Pelodiscus sinensis: one gene and its partner. The protein of the gene in region 2 purifies or fractionates together with the protein of the main gene of each other region. This does not show direct contact. Links are inferred from orthologs where the notes say so. Each region holds a gene or a part of one and is shown on either strand. Other genes may lie near its edges. The genes, in order: PRRC2B and EIF3F.

What was found.
Region 1: the proteins of EIF3F (region 2) and PRRC2B purify together in Homo sapiens (affinity purification with mass spectrometry; 3 studies listed by BioGRID and IntAct, counting the BioPlex papers as one, with this or other methods). This does not show direct contact. The link is inferred for Pelodiscus sinensis from reciprocal best matches to the Homo sapiens genes EIF3F and PRRC2B.

Annotation. Positions count from the first base shown.
Region 1 is NC_134732.1:14,401,828-14,409,184, reverse strand, and holds the start of PRRC2B (protein PRRC2B), read right to left. Parts: upstream 3,194-7,357; 5' UTR 3,018-3,193; intron 2,225-3,017; exon of another isoform or gene 1,680-2,224; intron 1-1,679.
Region 2 is NC_134718.1:4,170,567-4,177,831, forward strand, and holds the start of EIF3F (eukaryotic translation initiation factor 3 subunit F), read right to left. Parts: upstream 3,042-7,265; 5' UTR 3,027-3,041; coding exon 2,729-3,026; intron 1,269-2,728; coding exon 1,198-1,268; intron 695-1,197; coding exon 615-694; intron 1-614. UniProt on the Homo sapiens protein: Component of the eukaryotic translation initiation factor 3 (eIF-3) complex, which is required for several steps in the initiation of protein synthesis.

The DNA of each region.
Region 1 (7,357 bases), on a different chromosome or scaffold from region 2:
GCTTATCTAATAGGCAACTAGAGACTCAACTAGTTGCTTTCCCCTCGCCCATTGCTGCCTCTATCAGAGAGAGGAAGCTGGGAGAAGGGGCAGGAGCTCGTGCTGCGGGGAGAGGATTTAAAAGCTGGTTCCCCCCAGCACCATCTCGGGGTGGGGGGGCAGGAGAGGCAGAGGCATAGCAGGGCACTGGGAACTGATTCCCAGCTCACAATCCTAACCCATCCCCCAGCCACCCTGCTGCGCTTGCAGCTCTTAATACATTTAAAAGGCAGAGCCACAGAGGGCTTAGCTCCCAGCCCAGAAGCTAACCATGCAGTTTCACTCCCTTTAACAACTAATTGACTAGTCAAGTGAAAAGGAAAACAGACCATCCTCTCTTCAATGTGAAAGTCAAATTAAGTTCAAAAAGAAAAATTCAGAAAGAGCAATGAAAGATACATTTGATTTTAATCTTAAATTTTGCCAATCCTCTATGAACTTTTAATGTAATTTTTAACCTGACAACATCTTCTTATGCCTTAATGTGAAAGCACATTTCAGAAAGGACATCATGAAAATAAAGATTAACAATGAAGTCCTGTTAATCCTTCACACCTCAAACAACAGATGGGGGAAAAAAATCTCTAAAGACCTCAGTCTATGAGGAGCAACATGACTTCTCCACCCACCCTGAACACCACACCACTGACTTCAATGGGGCTCTGCATAGGCCCAAGGTTTTACCCACTTGTAGGTCTGAGAATCAGGGCCAAATTATTTACAGAAGCAAAAGTGCAATTAAAGTTTTAGCTACTCAGGGCTCCTCCTTCCCTTACCCCTGTGAATTTATCCCAGTCCTTGGTCCCTAAACTTTGGCTTTTAGACATTGAGCAACCACGATTCCAATTGAAGTTATGGATGGATGACACGAATGCACAGTATTTCAGAAAAATTCAGGTCCTGAAGTAGTATCCTGCAAGTTTATATTTGGCAAATCCACTTGTCATATGCCAACACTCCAATGCAAGCTCTTTGGGGACCAGGACTATCATCTTCTATGTTTGCAAAGTACCTCACACAACAGTTGCTGCTCTAGTTGAGGCATGCAGGCACTACTGCCATGGAAGTTCTAAACTAACTTATAGATCCTTATTCAGGACTCAGTTCTGCAAGATGAGGGGCACTGTCTGCTAATAATGAAGAGGAAGTATTGCAGCTTTCAGGATCAATGCCCATCCTCCCATGCAGTTTCTAGAAAGAGACACAGGGTCTTAAATGTTTTCATAACTTGTATATATTTTGCCAAATATTAATACTGTTAACATAAAAATGCATCATTATATGAAAGTATTAATCCATCAAATACAATCACTGCCTCCAAAATTTCTGCTGCTCTATCACCTTTTCTGTACCCAGAGTCTTTTCTACCTCTGAGGAAAAATTTTCATAACAAAACCCAAAACTCAGGATCAAATAACATTTGCAACCACAAAGCCCACACAGTTCTGCTAACCGAAATATCCACATATTCTTATGAGATGCATGGAAACAACATTATCTATAGAGCCAGGACCAGTTTCAAGCACACACCCCCACGAACCCAGAGGTAGTAAAATCTTTGTTAATAATAAAATATACATTTTTAATAAAACCACATGCATCTTCCAAGATCCAGCATCAAACACCAGAAACATCCCTACCGCATTTCACAGCCTCAGAAGCTGCGTTGTAAACACACCCCCACAAACTGCATTTCAGTCTCTGGAACCTCTTTGCACAGCTACAATAAAACAATCGGAGCTGCTCAGCTGAGCTTCAAACGCTTATTGAAACATCCACTGCAACAAGAATCTGATCGCTGTCAAATCAAAAGAGTGATTTCGATTTTCAACTGCCTTTGCAAAAAAGACCACCCCAAAAATCGACTAGTCAATAACACGCACAACGGTGTTAAATGAAACTGTTTCATACACCACCGTGTGTGCCGTAGCAGAGCAATGGGGGCTGGGCAGGAAGCTCTGGGAGACAGAACTGTACTGTAGCGCGTATAGTTTAATAATCCCAGATGGGGGAGGGTTTAGCAGTTTGTAATAACAGTAGCAGCAACATGGATCAGGCCTCCCATGACCCGAGTGCAGAACCAAAACAATGAGGCTGAACACTCATAGACTCTAGGCTCAGAAGGGACCATTATGATCATCTAGTCTGACCCCCTGCACAGTGCAGGCCACAGAATCTCACCCACCCCTCCCAGAATAATCCTCTCACCTATAGGACAATGTAGCACTTTAAAGACTAACAAGATGGTTTATTAGATGATGAGCTTTCGTGGGCCAGACCCACTTCCTCAGATATTGAAGCCTTCAAATACACGGGGGTTTTCTTTGAAGAAAAACCCACCCACAATCCGAACGGGCTAACCTAGCAAGCCACCAAGCTAAACAAAGCCCCCCGATGTATTAGAGCCTGAAAGGTGAACCCGGTCCCCACGCCTCTCAGCCCCCAACTGGGCGTGGGGGCCGCCTCGCAAGGCCCCGCATCTGCGGCTGGGAACCGAGGGAGGCTCCATCGCGGACTGGGCTTTGCAGCCTACAAACCGGCTCCAGCTTCCTGAGCTGGGGGAGACCAGAGGCTAATCCCCCCCCCCACACACACACACCCCCCAACCCTCCGAACCCGGGGTCAAGCGCCCTGAGGGGCTCCCCGGGGCTCCATCCCCCGGCTTTGTTCCGGGGCGCACGGGTCTGAAGCGGGGATCGGGCTGGGCCGAAGCGGGCACGGAACGCTGGGCAAGGCGGCGTTTGGGGTGCTGGGCTCCGGCCCGCTACAGCCGGGGGGGGGGGGTGGCGTGAATGAGTGAGACGGGGTTGAAATGGAGACCAGAGGGGGAGGGGAAGCCTGGGGCAGGTTCCCTCCGGGCTCCAGGCAGCCTCTGGCTCAGGCTCCATTTTAGGGCTGCCTTGGTCCCATCCCCCCCCCGCCGCATCAACCACCCTGAATAAAACCTCTCAGCCCCGCCAGCCGACCCCAATACCCACCTGTGGTGGTTGTCGGGAGCCGGGTCTGCCTGGGGAGCCGAGTCAGGAGGGTAGATGGGGGCTCAGGGAGCAGGATGGCTGCGGATTGAAAGGCAGAGGCGGCGCTGCCTGGATTGCAGGTTCTCGCTGCCTCTCTGTGTCTGCCTCCTCCTCCTCCAGTCCTCCCCCCTCCCCTGCTCCTGCACGGCCTGTCAATCCCCGGCCTGGAGTGAGCAACTCATCCCGCAGCCAGAGGCGTACAAACCGGACAGCGACACCTGCAGGGACTCCAGAGGAAAGCCAGGCGCACCGCGCCTCACAGGGGTTAACGATAGAGGCGAGGAGGTTGAAAGCAAAACGAGAGAAGAAAAAGAGATAGAAAGGAGGGAGCGTGCCGGAGAGGGAGGAGAAAGAGCGGGAGAAAGAGAATTAAAGAGTCAAAGACATGAGAAAAAGGGGGAAGAATGATTGGGAAAGATGCAGAGGTGCCTGCAGAACTGTCTAACTCCAGCCTCTGCTCTGGGGAGCTCTCTTCTGCTCTGATTCCCAAAACCTGAGGGATTCTGGCAGAGGACAGTACAGTATGCACCTTGATTACAGCCCACAAGAGGGGTCATGAAACTGATTGCAGGAGGAGAGGATGGGAGCTTGGTCCTGCCAAGGCAGACACTGGCAGGGGCAGCTCTGGGATCCTGGAGCTCTACAGTTGTCAGGATTACTTTATAGTCAGGCAGAAACTATTCTTTGGATTTCAATAAAAAGCCCCATGGTGATTAGATGTGCATGCAAAAGTGAGAGAGAAGCCTAGGCTGGACAGGAGGTTTGGTCAAGAAGCTGCAGCCAAATACCAGGCTTTCCCATTTCTCATTGTAGGCAGATATGATATGAAAGTTGAGAAGAAGTCAATTAAGGAAAGAAGGAAGAGGAAAGTCTTTCCCTTGCCTGCAAGGGCTTTAGATTGAGCCCAGAATGCACAAAGGAGGAAGCAGTTTCTCAATAAAGTGAGAAGCCATGGAATTTCTGTCTCTCTCACCCCGCTCTCTAAACATTAAATCAGTTCCCAAACTGGCAATGATACAGCACCCCTTAATGCAGCCTTGCCATGGAGTGACCACCCTTTTAACACTGAGATGGGAGCTCATTTTCCATAACCCATCTCCCTTTATTAAGATAGCCAGCAAGGAGTCCTATTAATGGCAGATGTAGTAGCAGTTGTGTGGCATGGATACCTGTCTGGTAAGAAGTGGCCTGAGACCATTTCACACTGGCTGCCAGATACCTGTCAAACACCGAGCCTTTTTTTCTTCCTACCTAAATTTAATGTCTCACACATGATTCTTCTTTGATTTTATACCTCAGGAAATCACTGTCGCCAGCAGAGAATTCCCCTCTCTGCCTAGCATGTTCCTGTTTACATTGGGATACATAATAAGATAGCAATAGAAAATTTAATTCTCCTTTATTATGACATTCATATTTGGTGCCCATCACTCTACCATGCACTGTTATTGTAGGAGGTTTCAGTACCAATCTTCATCATCTCCTGCTCCAACATTGAAACTTTCTCTCTTAAGAAGGAAAAACTATGTAGCATTTTAAAGACTAAGATGGTTTAATAGGTAATGAGCTTTCGTGGGCCAGACCCACTTCCTCAGATCATATTCTGGAAGAGAATTGGCATAACCATATATATCAGAGGAATACAATGAAAAAAGTGAACACATTATTAAACTGACAAATCAGATTTAGTACAGAAGGTGGGGTGGGTGAGAGGGAGAGAGGGAGGGAATAGCTACTTATGAGTCAATGAATGGCTAATCAGAGGTGATAAGTGGGGAAGCTATCTTGTAATGGGGAAGATAATTAGTATCTTTGTTAAGGCCTATTCTTAAAGTGTCAAATTTAAGCATGAATGAATGTTCTGAAGTTTCCCTCTGTAATCTGGTGTTAAAGTCTCTTTGAAGTAAGATGCACATAGTAAGGTCGTTAAGACTATGTCCAGCTAGGCTGAAATGAAAAACAACTGGTTTTTCCTTGTGAGGATGTCTGATGTCTGATTTATGGGCATTAATTCTTTGGCGAAGTGTCTGAGAAGTCTGTCCAATATACATAGCAGAAGGACATTGTTGGCACATGATGGCAGAAATTATATTTCTGGATGAACAGGAATATGTGTTCTTGATCATATAACTGACATGGTTAGGTAGGACCAGTGATGGTGTCACCAGAGTAAATATGTGGACAACGTTGGCAGCGGTGTTTGTTGCAAGGGAAAGTTCTGGGGTTGGTATTAATGTGGTATGTCCTGTGGTTGTTGGTAAGAATCTTCCTGAGGTTAGGTGGTTGTCTATAGGAGACTATGGGTCTGTCCCCCAGAGCCTCTCGGATTGTAGTATCCTGTTCCAGTATAGGTTGTAGGTTATTGATAATGCGTTGGAGGGTTTTAAGTTGGGGGCTATTGGTGATGACAAGTGGTGTTCTATTATTGGTTTTCTTGGGCCTATCTTAAAGTAAATGGTTTCTGGGTATTCGTCTGGCTCTTTCAATTTGTTTTTTTATTTCCCCGGGTGGGTAATTGAAATTTACAAATGATTTGGTAGAGATTTTGAAGTTTATGGTCTCTGTCAGTGGGATGAGAGTGGGATTAGAGCAGATGAGGTTGTACCCCCAGATCTCTCCCCTCCACTCTCAGGATGTTATACTTATAAGAAGCACACAGGATCTTTTTCAGGGGAAAAGGCAATACACCACATTTACTGAAAACTAGAAGATTTACCTGGCATTGCTCAGGGCCTTAACTCAAATAAATTTTGTTTTTCTTCATTTAAATCATGATTCTGGGATGGGGTGAGGAATGATGGGTTGAGTATACAGGACAATCTCAGAACTCTTTCATTGTAGCAGCTTGGGACAAGGTGAGAAGCTCCTGTCCATGGCTGCTGCCGTTGCAGTGGGTACAGCAGGGGGAGGGTTGCATGTCCCCCAGCTGGGGAACAGTGAGACACACAAACAGACAAACCAAACTTTGACTGGTTCAGGGAACTGGTGGGCAGGATACCCTGGGATGCTAACATGAAGAGGAAAGAAATCCAGGAGAGTTGGCAGAAACCTTGTTGAAAGCACAGGAACAAACCTCCCAATGCACAGTAAGAGAAGCAAATACGGTAGGTGAACAGCTTGGCTTAGCAGTGAAATCCTTGGCAAGTTTAAACAGAAGAAGGAAGCTTACAAGAAGTGGAAACTTGGACAGATGACTAGGAGTATAAATATATTGCTTGAGATGCAGGGGTGTAATCAGGAAGGCCAAAGCGCAATTGGAATTGCAGCTAGCAAGGGATGTGAAGGGAATCATTAAAGGGTTCTACAGGCATGTTAGCAATAAGAGGGTGACCAGGGAAGGAGTGGGACCCATCTTAAAAAAAGGGAGGAAGGACAATCCAGAGAATTGCAGACCGGACAACCACCCCTCAGTCCCCAGAAAAATCATAGCGGGGATACTCAATGGATCCATTTTGAAGCACTTGGAAGAGAGGAAAGTGATCATGAATAGTCAACATGGATTCACCAAGGGCAAATCATGCCTGATCAACATGATTGCCTTCTATGACCAGGCAACTGGCTCTGTGGGTACGGAGAAGGCAGTGGACATGATATATCTTGACATTAGCATAGCTTTTGATATGGTCTCCCACAGTATTCTTGCCAGCAAGTTAAAGAAGTATGGATTGGATAAATGGACTGTAAGGTGGCTAGAAAGTTGGCTAGATTGTTGGGCTTAGTGATAAATGGCTTGATGTCTGGCTGGAGGTTGGTGTCAAGCGGAGTGCCCCAGGAGTCAGTTCTGGGGCCAGTTTTGTTCACCATCTTTATTAATGACCTGGATAAGGGGATGCATTGCACCTTCAGCAATAACACTAAGCTGGGGGAGAGGAAGATACGTTTTTGGTACAGATAGGGTCCAGAGTGACCTAGACAAATTGGAGGATTGGGCAAAAAGAAATCTGATGAGGTTCAACAAGGACAAGTGCAGAGTCCTACACTTGAACGGAAGAATCCCAAGCACTGTTATAGGCTGGGGACCAACTAGCTAGGCAGCAGTTCAGCAGAAAAAGACCCGGGGATTACAGTGGATGAGAAACTGGATGAGTCAACAGTGTGTCCTTGTAGCAAGAAGGCTAATGGCATATTAGGGTGCATTAGGAAGAGCATTGCCAGCAAATCTAGAGAAATGATTATTCCCCTGGTGAGGCCACATCTGGAGTACTGCATCCAATTTCTGCCCCCTCTGCCCCCCCTGCCCTCCCCGTCACAGAAAGGATGTGGACGCATTGGAGAGGGTCCAGTGGAGGGCACTGAAAATG
Region 2 (7,265 bases):
GTCACAACCCCCAAGGTAATTTGAGCAGCACGGCACTTAGATTCGGGAGGCTGGGGCTTATCCACCACTATGGCGACCCCCTAGGAAGACATCTACGATCCCCTTGGAGGTTGCAACCCATGGGTTGTGCACCACTGGTCTAGATGGTACTGCACCCTGTCATGAGGGCATGGGACTGGACTCAATGACTTCTCGAGGTGCCTTCCAGTTCTAGTGTTCAGTGATTCAGGAACAAATGAAAACTGGTTCACAAAGCCTCAGTTTGTAGGGAACCAACTATAGTTCTCCACATTCCACTCTCAAGAAGTCTATGCTGTGCAGTTCCCTACAATACTTCACCTGATTTCCCAACAATGCTTGGATGAAAAGTCCAGTATCAGAAGATATGGCCCAACTATATATTTTTTATTCATTTCCCACAACACCTAGTTTTACCTTTAAACAACGTATCCCATTCTTGATATTTATATTCTATATCCATAGCAGTCATTTCAACAAAATGTAAATTTTGAATAAGCAGCAATGCAGCGTACACAATTTCAAGGTGCATAATGTGGCCACACAACTGCTAAGCACAGGTCAGTTATACATTTGCAGCAGGGAATATGACTTACCACCCCAAAATGATTTCAGTAGGGGAAACCTTCTTGTGCAGCTCGTACATATTCTTGGCAAACTCCATATCCACAGCCACCTGAGAACCAGAACAAAGCAGCATGAGGCAATGAGCTGCAGGAGCAAGTAAACAACAAGCAGTGAAACAGGTTATCATCGCCAACCAGGACTACAGAAAAATCTTCCTTTAGTAGTTACCAGCTCACCACAAGCAGAATTAGAGCTTCATTGGCCTCCGTATGCTAGGATAATGTGGGAGGATTTCACAGAAAGCCCCTGCCAATATACCACACATGTTGATTGCTCTAGTCACACAAGACACAGTGAATTCTAGAGTCACATGCACTAACTCAGGCACCGACCGATCCAGGCCTTTCAGAATCCCAAAGACAACAGGTGAAATGCAGGAAAGCCATGCTAAGTGTAGCATGAGGCACTTGTCCTGGCACATGCAGCTAGCCCACTAAGAGTCCACATCTTCCACTGGAGACTGCCAAGTGCTTCACGTGCTATCATGCCATTTAGTCACCCAACTCGCTGTGACCAAGTGCTCAGGGAGCAGAGGCCCAGACCACCACTCACCTCATCTTCAGACTCATTGTGTGGGACAGAGAAGCAATTGGTGACTTCCACTGAGTGTTTGTCCACGGTGCCTGCAGAGCAGAGAATGAGCCTGAGGAAGGTGCCAGGCGGGATCATATTCCCCAGACCCACTACCCCTGTGGGCAGCTCAGACTCCCTGGGGTCATTCCTGGGAGGGGATGTGGACCAACCTGGGGAGCCTACAAACGCAGGTGTGTGTGGGGGGGGGGAGAGGGGATGGTCGGTGGGGGAACCGGGGGGGGGGGGGGGCGGGGGAGAGAAATAGCGGGATACGGCCGGTGGGGGAGAAAAAGGGCCGGAGATTGGGGGGGGGGGGCGCTCTGTCAGGCTTGGCCCAGTGGGGGGAAGGGGGCCCGCTCTGTGGGGCCAAGAGAGTTGGAGAATGAGGAGTGGGGTGCAAGGGGGGGCTCTGTGGGGCCCAGCGAGTTGGAGAATGAGGAGTGGGGTGCTAGGGGGGGCTCTGTGGGGCCCAGCGAGTTGGAGAATGAGGAGTGGGGTGCTAGGGGGGGCTCTGTGGGGCCCAGCGAGTTGGAGAATGAGGAGTGGGGTGCTAGGGGGGGCTCTATGGGGTCCAGGGAGTTGGAGAATGAGGAGTGGGGTGCGAGGGGGGGCTCTGTGGGGCCCAGCGAGTTGGAGAATGAGGAGTGGGGTGCGAGGGGGGGCTCTATGGGGTCCAGGGAGTTGGAGAATGAGGAGTGGGGCCTCTGCCGAGCTCGGCGCGGTGGGAGAGGAGATAGAGGGCCGGAGTTGTGGAGAGGAATCTGTCGGACCCGGCCGGGTAGTAGGAGGGCCGCGGGGGGACGCTCTGTCGAGCCTGGTGCGGTGGGGAGGAGGGTCCCGGGTCCCGCGAGCCTGTGGGCTCTGGCGGGCCGGGGGGGGGGGGGGGGGCGAGGAGCGTGTGGGCTCTGGCGGGCCGGGAGGGGGCGGGGGGGGCCGGGCTCTGGCGGGCCGGGGGGGGCGGGGGGGCTCTGGCGGGCCGGGGGAGGGGGCGGGGGGGCTCTGGCGGGCCGGGGGAGGGGGCGGGGGGGCTCTGGCGGGCCGGGGGGGGGCTCTGGCGGGCTGGGGGGGAGGGGGAGCAGGGGGGGCGGGGGGGCTCTGGCGGGCCGGGGGGGGCCTCTGGCGGGCCGGGGGGAGGGGCAGGGGGGGCGGGGGGGCTCTGGCGGGCCGGGGGGGGGGGCGGGGGGGGCTCTGGCGGGCCGGGGGGGGGGCGAGGAGCGTGTGGGCTCTGGCGGGCCGGGGGGGGGCGAGGAGCGTGTGGGCTCTGGCGGGCCGGGGGGGGCGGGCTCTGGCGGGCCGGGGGGGGGGGGGCTCTGGCGGGCCGGGGGAGGGGGGGCCTCTGGCGGGCCGGGGGGGGGCGGGCTCTGGCGGGCCGGGGGGGGGGGGGCTCTGGCGGGCCGGGGGAGGGGGGGCCTCTGGCGGGCCGGGGGAGGGGGGGGGGGCCGGGCTCTGGCGGGCCGGGGGGGGGGGGCGGGGGGGCTCTGGCGGGCCGGGGGGCGGGACCGGCTTTTACCCAGCAAGGTGCCGATGACGCGGGCCGCGCCCTCGTTGCGCCGCTCGAAGCTGTCCACGATGGAGGCCAGGATGACCGGGTGCAGCCGCACCACGCGGCCGCCGGGGAAGGGGCCGGGCAGCGCGGCGGGGCCGGGCGGGCCCGGGGCCGCTGTCGGTAGCGCCGCAGGAGGCGCGGAGCCGGCCGATGGCGGTGCGGCGGCGGGGCTCGGAGCGGCGGGGGCGGGAGCTGCTGCTACCGCCACCGGGTCCGGATCCTGGGCCGGGGCCGGGGCCGGGGATGGAGACACCGCCGCCATTTTGCAAAGAAAGAGGCGAAATTTTTCACGCTAGTGCTAATAGGCTGAGCCAGACGCCTGTCACCACCCTTGCCTTCTCATTGGATGGAATGTGAGGCCCGCTCGCCTCCTCGCCTATTAACCAACCAGGAGGGGGCAGAGGCGGACGGAGAGACTCCTTCACCATTGGCTGATACTGACAATTGTGCCCGCCCAAAAGTGTGCAAAACCCTTTGTCATTGGCTGTGGTGTTGCTTGGGCCCGCCCTGCCGTAGGCTCCGCCGCGTGGCCCGGAGAAATGAAGCCAAGGGAGCCCCTGGGGTGGGGAATTTGGAGAATTCATGGTGGCCGGGCCCGGAAGGGGCGGGGCCTGTGGCGGAAGGGGCGGGGCTGCGGTTAGGTAGCCAGGGTGGGGGGGGGGGGGGTCGTGTGTTACGGACGCACCCCGAGCCCAGGCTCCCTGCGGGGCGCGGTAGCCACAAGGGCGCCCGGCCCGGCCCCTGGCTCGGCCCCTGGGGCTTCTCTCCCGCAGGGGGGCCCCGAGCGCAGCGTGAGGGGCAGGCGCTGGGCGACGCGGGGTTTAGGGCCCTGCTGCTGAGGTGTCTGAAGTGCATTGGGGGGGGGGGCTGCCCTCCGTCCCAGGGGCAGGGCCAGAGCGGGAGAGAGGGGGGGGCAGTTAAAGAGCGGGAGAGAGGGGGGGGGCAGTTAAAGAGCGGGAGAGAGGGGGGGGCGGTTAAAGAGCGGGAGAGAGGGGGGGCAGTTAAAGAGCGGGAGAGAGGGGGGGGCAGTTAAAGAGCGGGAGAGAGGGGGGGGCGGTTAAAGAGCGGGAGAGAGGGGGGGGCGGTTAAAGAGCGGGAGGGGGGGGGGCGGTTAAAGAGCGGGAGAGAGGGGGGGCGGTTAAAGAGCGGGAGAGGGGGGGGGCGGTTAAAGAGCGGGAGAGGGGGGGGGCGGTTAAAGAGCGGGAGAGGGGGGGGCGGTTAAAGAGCGGGAGAGAGGGGGGGCGGTTAAAGAGCGGGAGAGAGGGGGGGCAGTTAAAGAGCGGGAGGGGGGGGCGGTTAAAGAGCGGGAGAGGGGGGGCGGTTAAAGAGCGGGAGAGAGGGGGGGCGGTTAAAGAGCGGGGGGGGGGGCAGTTAAAGAGCGGGAGGGGGGGGCAGTTAAAGAGCGGGGGGGGGGGCGGTTAAAGAGCGGGAGAGAGGGGGGGCGGTTAAAGAGCGGGAGAGGGGGGGGCGGTTAAAGAGCGGGAGAGAGGGGGGGGCGGTTAAAGAGCGGGAGAGAGGGGGGGCGGTTAAAGAGCGGGAGAGATGGGGGGGCAGTTAAAGAGCTCTGCTCTGACACTCAGCTCGTGATAAGAAAGTCTCCGCGGGGTGGCGGGGTGTATACACGCAGTCACGAGAAGGTTACATCCTATCAGACAGCATTCATTGTCTGCAGCCCACGTTTCCCATGTTCCTAAATCACATGCGTTACAGGCATGATTGGATTTACTGATCGCTGCTGAGAGAGGCAATTTTATTTTCCTCTTTCATTAACAATTAGCTTTCAACAATTGCGACCTTCATCCTGTATTATCTCTTAACGTGAATTCATAGTAATTTAACTGCTATGTACTCTGAAATGCGATGTAGATAGGCACATGCATAATACCTTGTTTACCTCAATTCTTATTGTTTGTATTTTCATATGTAAGGAGACTGTTGGCCCCTTACTCACACCCAGTGAGTATTTTGCTTGGTAAGCGCCCAGTCTCAAATGAAGGGGAAGGGTTTTTGAGAAATCAGAACCATGAAACTGAGCCCCAGGAGCAAAGAGAGAGTCCAGTCTACATGTCAGCCTGACTGCCAGGCCAAGGAGGGAGTGAGGAGGCTCGGGTGAGTCCCGTCCTCTGTCACAGCTTAATTTCTTGGGTCAGACAGAGTGGGTCTGAACTAAGGAGACATTTGCCTGAGCTGAACTGGGAGGATTCATGGCACCCAGAGACACAGCCCAGCAGCAGAGCCATGCTGGGAGCAGGGCTGCAGGGGTCAGAGAAGCAGCCCAGAAGCTGGAGGCAATGTGGCAGAGCATGGAGCTGGGGCTGGAGCATGCTGGGGCTGGTGCAGAGAGCAGGGAGATCCTGGGCAAAGGCCCAGCGCAGGGGTACTCCACTAGCCAAGAGGCGTTGCAGACCAAATATCCTTCTAGCCCAGTATCCTGTCTCCCAACAGTGGCCAAGGACAGGTGCCCCAGAGGGAATGAACAGAACAGGTAACCATCAATTGATTCCTCCCCTCGTTGCCCATTCCCAACCTCTGACAAATAGAGGCTTGGGACACCATACCTACCCATCCTGGCTGATAGCCTTTGATGGACCTAACCTCCATGACTCTATCTAGCTTTTCTTTGAACCCTGTTAGTGTTGGCCTTCACAACATCCCCTAGCAAGGAGTTTGACCAGTTGACTATGTGTTGTGTAAAGAAATACTTCCTTTTGTTTGTTTCATACCTGTGCTTAATAATTTCATTTGTTGAATCCTAATTGTCCTCCATTAGTTTCCTCTGTAACCGTGGGCAGGCCACTCAGACCCTCAAAGGTTATTTTAGGTGCCTAAATCTCCTCAATTTAAAAAGAAATTAGGAGTCTACATACCTTTTTGAAGACATTGTTCTGAATCTGTGCCTCAGTTTCCCCACCTATAACATCAGGGGTGTCATATGGCCTTACTTCACTGGAGTATTGTGAGGATGAATGCATTAATGACTGAGATGCTTGGATTCTACAGTGATTTTTGGGAGAGGGAAGATCTGTATAAATACCTGACCTTCAGAGAGTTGCATTACTTGCTCCTCTTTATTAAATACTGTTTCTGTGGAGAGACTGACAAACCTGGCTATCTAGAACCTCTAAGCCATGCTACTCTCATCTCTTTTAAAAGACAGTTGGTGACAGGATTGAGTAGGTCCTAAGGCGTCCTGCTACACCCAGCCTCCAAAAGTTCAGTAGAGAGGTGGCCTAAGCTGCCGTGTGGGACGCAGCCAATCAGAGCCCAGCAGGCTAGTATAAGATGAGCTGCAAGGCATGAGTGAAGACAGTTCCTTGCTAGAATTGAAGGAGTGTGGATGGTGTTCCAGGCTGGCTACTGGAATGCCACAAGGCCAAGTCCCTGAGGTAAGGGGGAAGAATATAAGGAAGCCATGGGAAAGTGGCTCAGGGACTTATAGCAGCCTTCTGCATTATCCCTTTAATAAATGGCATTGCAGCTATCTATAAGGTCCCTGGGCTGGGACTCACAATCAAGGGTAGGCCTGAATTCTCCTCCCCCACACTCACATCCACTTGGGAAGTGGCCTTGACTTTGAGGCACTCCAGAAGTGGACTAAACTGTTGTGGCCTGACTGAAAAGCTGGTGCCAGAAAAGCCCTGAGAGGATGAAGACATGTCCTCCAAGGAAGGAATCTTGGGACACCACTGTATTCCAGAGCAGGGACAAGCAGACGCATTACAGAGGGCACAGGGAGGCCCATTGTACTTGTACTCCCAAAGGGGTTTGCATTGCTTTTCTCTCATAAACAGGCTGTGTATGACTTTTCCAGGGGGCTGAGTGAGAGAAGACCCACCACACACAGCTAGAGAGTGCACAGGAAGATGCACTTGGCCAGTCGGTGCTCGTGTGAGGTGAGTGAAGCACATTTACAGAACCTCAGATCTTTAAGGTGGTGCTTTCTGTAACTTGGTTTGAAACTAGTGAATGTAACTCCATAGTGCTTCTCCAGCAAATCAGTTTTAAAGAAAGCCACTGGAAACATGTTTAGATCTAAGCTTCCTGAGTTATTTTCTTTCTTTTTATCAGTGTTGGAAGTCTTTCCAGGGGTCTAACCTTTTGTATGCTTCATGGCTTATTCATATAAACATTTTCTGGGAAGACCAAAAATGTGTTAGTTTATTCATTGATCCCCTCTTCCAAATAACCCAAGATTATGCAAGGATTGTTTTTAAATGCAGAAGGCAAGTTTAAGTGAATAACACCCATTTGGCAGCGATACTTGTCTTGTGACTCTAGAGGTAAGTTGCAAAAAACTGGATAAGGCAGTGAAGGGGTGAGGAAAGGACTGCAGAGCCATTGGGTAATAAGCAGCATGGTTGAACCAGAGACCATTTAATGTTCTGTTAAAGGTGTAGTTCAAGAACTCACACAAAGAAAAGGAGGGAGAACAGGAAGGTTAAAAGACAGACAGAAGCTTAGCACCACATAAGCGTGTGTGGGGAGGGAGAACAGTCTAGGT